Regions from separate parts of the Mus musculus genome. Here region 2 is reported to be linked to region 1. The links are microRNA targets in miRTarBase. Many come from high-throughput screens and were not tested one by one. Region 1 holds a microRNA gene; the other region holds the end of a gene's coding sequence.

Evidence for each region. The annotated mature microRNA mmu-miR-703 reads AAAACCUUCAGAAGGAAAGAA and lies in region 1 at 1,852-1,872, shown strand. An mRNA with a match to its seed (bases 2 to 7 or 8) in the 3' UTR can be bound and repressed. Matches are read on the target gene's strand: a 7mer-m8 pairs with bases 2 to 8, a 7mer-A1 pairs with bases 2 to 7 and ends in A, and an 8mer does both.
Region 2: miRTarBase lists Pcnp as a target of mmu-miR-703. Seed matches in the 3' UTR shown: 8mer at 1,134-1,141 and 7mer-m8 at 1,260-1,266.

What each region holds. Positions count from the first base shown.
Region 1 is chr5:98,474,291-98,477,487 of GRCm38, reverse strand. Mir703 (microRNA 703) reads left to right here and starts at 1,824; the gene lies at 1,824-1,932. The region is part of intron 2 of Cfap299 (cilia and flagella associated protein 299); the gene reads right to left.
Region 2 is chr16:56,014,326-56,017,428 of GRCm38, reverse strand. Pcnp (PEST proteolytic signal containing nuclear protein) reads left to right here. Exons shown (of 5, transcript NM_001024622.2): 5 at 112-1,921. The coding sequence ends at 238. Among named protein-coding and RNA genes, the nearest start is that of Pcnp, 14 kb to the left of the region's middle.

The DNA.
Region 1 (3,197 bases):
TGTTTCTCTTCACTGAGACACCCAAGCGGGAGTGTGAAGGCTCTGTGGATCTGGGGGAGAACTGCAATCAACCCACAGCAGCTGTGATTGCCTGCAAAAGATTGGGTCCTTCAGCTGTGCGATGGAGAAAGGGAGAGTTTCAGGGATGTGGCCCCTACTGCAATTAATGGGGGAAGGAGAGACATTTTCTTCAATAGTATATCAACTGGAAAGGTTCCTACGCTCCTATAAACTGTGCTAATTAAGCTTAATAGGTCACAAATGAAAGGCAAAAAGATATAAACTTAGAAGGCTGGTTAGTTGGGAAGAGGTAAGGGGTTAACAAGACTAGGAAAGAGAGTGATCAAAGAACATTATGTATATATATTAAAAATTGCCATGACATTCATTTTATATATAATACATTCTAACACTGTTTTTAAAACAAAACCTTACTCTATGATGTTCTTTAAATCTGTTACTTTAATAAAAATTATTTTCAGACAATGGAACATCAAGAACGATAAGGAATGAAAAGAGCACTGGCTAAGGGGTAAGAGTGATCAGAGAACATTGTACACATTGTGAAAATGTCACAACAAACCCATCATTTTATAAAATTAATATATGGTGATAAAACATAAAAATAGAAAATTTTCTTAAAAATTAAAATTGCAGCATTGGGACGTAAACCTGGCATCTTCCTCCAAGTCATGGAGTAAGATATCAGAGAAGCAGAACTGGGCACAGTGTCAAATGCTTGTCATCACCCAGCTGGAAGCCTGTGGCAAGAACTTAGTTCAAGACTTCACCATGAGCCCATGTCTCAACAAAGCAAAAAGGAGGGAAAGAGACAGATAAAGACAGAGGTGGCAACGTGCCACAGAATCTTCAGCAAAGTCACGTAGGAGACCTTCATCCAAACACAGACAATAAGGAGTAGGTGTTCCCCCCCAAAAGGTAATAGAACATCCCATTACACCCAGCCACTAGACACAGAAACCTGTGGAAGATGTGGCCTCCCTGCAAACACACTGTGGGTTTCAGGATCTGATGGGCTAAGGGAGCAGCTGTACTCTCCATGTGAGATGCCCCCTCATGACAACCACAGACTCCTTTCCTAAGTATCAAAGTCCTAAAGTCCACAGATAACAACAGAGCAACTCAATGATTTACCACAAATATCTCAAAATAAAACTACTAATGTTTCCAAAGAGAATAATGTACTTATTGAAAACAGTGTTCGATTTTTTTGCAGATCTTTTTGCCTTAGGGTACATACTGTAGCGAGTGGTCAGAGACTGTTTTAAAGCTCTTTAGGCTGGAAAAGGTATGAGGCAGCTTTTCACTACTGGAACGAAACATTGAAGATAATTCACTGAAAAGGTGGAGGAGTTTCTTTTGGCCTCTGGTTTCAAAAGACGCTTCTTATAGTCTGATGGTTTTACTATACTGGTTCCATCCATCTAGTGACTCCAATAATATCTCCTTAGTTGTTGGGAGGATCCATTGATGCGTCTCATCATTGGAAAGTTTCACTGATGTCACTCAGAGTTGAATGGCCCCACTGATGGTTCTCATGGTTGAGGCACCACTGGCCTGTGGTAACATCATATATGATGATTGGAGTCATGTGGCAGACAAAAATAGGTTTACCTCACAATGGCCAGGATGTACAGAAGAAAGAGGAAAGGACCACAGGTCCAATAATTTCTTCAAGGGAATACTGTGTGACCTAACTTGCTCTTGCTAGGAGATTCCTCCACCACCTCCTTCAGCTGCTTAAGACTCCGTCCCTCAGAACTGTTTGTCTCAATTGGCCATTTAAGTTTAATAAAAGTAAAAGACTGGTTAATGATAACAATGCATCATAAAACCTTCAGAAGGAAAGAATGTTGTGGACCATTTTTTTTTGTGTGTGGCAGTTTTAAGTTATTAGTTTTCAAAATCAGTACTTTTTAATGGAAACAACTTGACCAAAAATCTGTCACAGAATTTGAGACCATTAAAACAAGTTTAATGAGAAAAAAAAAAAAAAGACTCCGTCCTTAGAAAACCATCATTTCCTCTCTTCATTACTGATAACTGATTGGGCTCATTCCATTTATTTGCTATGATAAACGCTGCTTCTCAGTAAATAAGCACTCTTTAGATTTGTGATTTATGAACCATGATAATGACAGTAGAGGCGTCATGAAACATATCCTTCCCCCTCCACCTCCTTGAATCTGATAATGTCCCACAGTGAAATACAGGAAAAAATACTGGTCATGATTTTTTTTTCTGCTCACACATATAACAAAGGCAACCATATTGAACTTACCATGCTATGAAAACTTCACACCACATAGAAAAGCTCAAGTGAATGAGTTGTCATATGAAGAGAGAGACAGACCGGCCACTAGTCAGAGAAGTTAGTCACCTATAATGTGAATGAAGGCTCCATCTTTGAAGTGTATCTCTAGCCACAGCTGAAGCTACCTCAGATGACACTAGGTAGCCCCTTCGGAGGTCCTGAATTATATAACAATGAGGCTTTTAAATAGGCTTTTAAGACTCAGATATGTATTGCAGAGAAATATAACAAAAACCAGATGTTTAATTATATATAATAAATTATATTTTCAGTTATAAACTTATTTTTTCTTATGGCTGACCAAATAAATTCTCTTCACATGTAATGAGGAGAAAATGGAAGGTTACATTTTATTTCAATCAACTTCTAATTTTAGACATGGCCCTATCCATCATAGCTAGCTATACATATATATACTTTATAACTACTGGGTTCAATAGTAAATTTGTTCAAGTTTTGTTTAACTCTCTGGAAAGTTGCCTTCATATTAACAAAGTATTTCCTGGTTTCATTAATGTCTCTTGTTTCTACAGCTTTTAAAATATTCTGTGCCATTCAAATACTTAGGTGATGTCTCAGAAGAAATCTAGATAATAAAATGAACCACTGATTTCCAATAAAGGACATTACAGCTCTGCTATTCCAGTTGAGAATTTCATCTGGCTTGGTCAGAGTAAGATACACAGTCACATCTGTACCATGAAAATATTTAAAGATCAGGACCACAGAAGGAATATTTTTCTTTTTTTTTCCATGTTTGCTTTATAGAAAATAATATGAATAGTGAAAATTTTTATTATTTATTTATTTATTCATTTATTTATTTATTTATTTATTTACATCTCAAATGTTGTACCCCCCT
Region 2 (3,103 bases), not on the chromosome of region 1:
GGCCTCTGCTATTCAGTCTGTATTTCTAATGAGCGCTAAGCAAATGTATATTAACATGTTTAAAATAGACCACAACAATAATTTGAATAAATTGAATTTCTTTTAACACAGGGACACACCAACATCAGCGGGACCAAACTCCTTTAATAAAGGGAAGCATGGCTTTTCCGATAACCAGAAGCTGTGGGAGCGAAATATAAAATCTCATCTTGGAAACGTCCACGACCAAGACAATTAAGTGAAGTGTCTGAGACTGGGGTGTGGGTGGGTGCAGTTAGAAGGAGCAGTCTCCTTTTTGTAAAGAATGGTGTAAGACTAGCTTTGGAGCCGTTTTTCTTTCTTCTTTTTTTCTTTTCCTTTTTTCTTTTTTTTTTTTTTTTTTTAAGATTGAGTGGTACACTAATAAATGAGAGTTTGCAATTAGAGGTAATTTATGTTTTATATACAGATTTCAAGACATTTGCTAATTTTGTAGTTTCACATGATTAGTTTCCAAGGGTTACAGATAATAAAGAAATCACAAGTGGTACCTTTCTAAGAATTGCATATTTTTTTAGACACAACTATTAGCACATTAAGAGGGAAGCCAAAAGTTATTGTCTGCTTCAAACTGGAAGCAGTTCCTCTCCTGACTTCTCCCTCGTTACCCGACTGTCCGGCTCCCTGCAGCAGCCTTACCGAGAGGGAGATTGGCTTGAGAAGCCAGTGTTACTGTTGTGACTGTTGGCTGAGAGGAAGTTTAGATGAGGTTCAAGTAAACCCTTTCCTGCGGGCATTTCGTTTTGTTTCGGGCCATTCTAGCTAGTACTGCTTCGCTCTCAGTGGGTACCGATGCTTGCTCTGTAAAAATAAATTTTTTTCGTTAAAAATTCTTATATGAAGAATTGAGTATTATGACTAGCCCACTCTAACGGAGTGTGTCTCCGTTGAGGACCTTCAGAGGACACTATTTGCTACCAAAGTGAACCAGTATTCTGAATGTGCTTCTCTTGGTTTCTGTTCTAGTTCCTAGAAGCATTTCCACCAGAACTTGAGGCAAAACATAAGGAAGCTGTTTCTTTTAAAGTACAAACACCACCAAAAATATCAGTGTACATAGTGCTTTATGTATTTGGCTGGCTTTTATTTTTTAAAAGGTTTAAATAACAAAAAAGGAAAAAAAGGTATAGCATTGTATGAAGGCAGATGAGGCGACACACCTGTGACATTTGAAGCATTTGTGTTACTAACTTACTAGATCCGGTTTGAATTGAATTCACAAGGTTTCTTACTTGTCCAACTCCAGGCTTATTTTACGTACATACAACCTGACCAGTGGTTTCAAAAGCACATTTAGTGACTGCAATAGGACAGAAATGCTTCTCTAGACACATCTTCATTGCGAGCGTCTCATCGCATATGCTCTTAGAGTTCTGAATGTAGGATGTTTGTTTTGTATTTTTGTATTGTATATGGGCTTTTTAAATGTGACAGTTAAATGCATCTTTAATAGTCACAGACAAAAGAGATGATAAAATGTCCTTTGAAAATGGCAATGTTGAGTTTGGAGGCAGCTTCGGGGAGTTTCCTGGGTGGCGATGATTCACTGGGCAGTTTTTAATGTAGTGACTTCAAGAAGCAGCCTGCGGATATTCCTAACACTTGGTTCACTACAGTTTAGTTTACTTCATAAGCCCCAAGTAAAACGATGGAAATGTACATAGCACTATTAGTTCATACATGATTTAAGTATATCAAGATACATAAATTTAACATTTATGTCTGCAAACTGTCCATTTGTCCATTTTACTGTTTGTTGAAATAACACCTCTCCTACATATTCTTTACTTGACTCGAATAACAAATTAACCTGACGTCAAGATGGAGAGAGACGACTGAGCTGAATGTCTTTACTAAAATTACAATAAATTTTGTCAAACTTGGTGGTGGTCTTATTTTCTTTCTTTTTTTTTTTTTACTGTGTCTTTGAAAATGTTTTTTAAAATAGTCTGTGTATATGGCATGCTGGTGAGTTCAAGGAGACACAAAACATTGTGAAAATATTGCCACTTAGAAGCATGCCCCCAGAACCTCTTACTGCTCATTAGACAGTCGTCAGAATAATGTGTTAGCATTATCTGTTACTCTACCTGACTCTGGTCGGCAGATTCTTGCATTCCATTTACAATGCTCTTATATACTCTGTCCGAGAGGAGCTACACTATCAGCTCCTGAGATCTCTAAAGACTTCCTTTTCCTGTGTGTTTATTGTGAGTGTCCATGCACATGTAGCACTGTACTCTAGTAGATCAGACAGAGCACACTCTGAGGGATTCTGTTCTTCTTTTTACTCTCTATGCACTGCATCTCAACTGTGCCCCCCTCCCCCCCCCCCAACACACACACAACACACACACTCCTCCTAGTTCGTCCCCCACCTCCCTTCTTCCTCACATCTATTCCTCCTGTTTCCCTACAAAAGAGGAGCAGACCTCCCAGGGATAAACTTTGAAAGTGGCCTAATGGTCAAAGGATTCTTTTTGTTATTTTTGACAAGGTTTCTCTGTGTAGCCCTGGCTGTCCTGGAACTCACTTTGTAGACCAGGCTGGCCTCACAGATCCACCTCTGCCGGGATTAAAGGTGTGCACTGCTACCAGCACCTGGATGAATGTCAAAGGCTTCTCAAGCAGTGATTTAATTAAAGGACTGAACCTAAGAGGTCTCAGATGTAGGAAGAGAATGCTATCTATCCTCGGGTTAGGGAAAGGACAACTGAATAAGAGAGTAAGAAAATGGATTGCTAGGGCAGAAGCTGGAGACAGCTCCGTTTTGAGGGTGCTTGCCTACTGTACAGAAGGCTTGGGTTTGATAGCCAGTCCAAAACCCAGACACTGCCGGTAATGCACATCTGGAATCCCAGAACTTGGCCGGTAGAGCAGGAATAATAAAAGATCTTGAGGCCTGCCTGGATCACAAGGACCCATCTTGGTCAGGAGGTGGTAATGCTATTATATTTTATGTCTTCCTGTTTAATCCTATTCTGTGTTATCTGGGTTGCTGGGAGAAATGAGAGTTGTCTCTAACGTGAGTAGCTCCAGCTGGGCTACAGTTCACTTGCAGAGA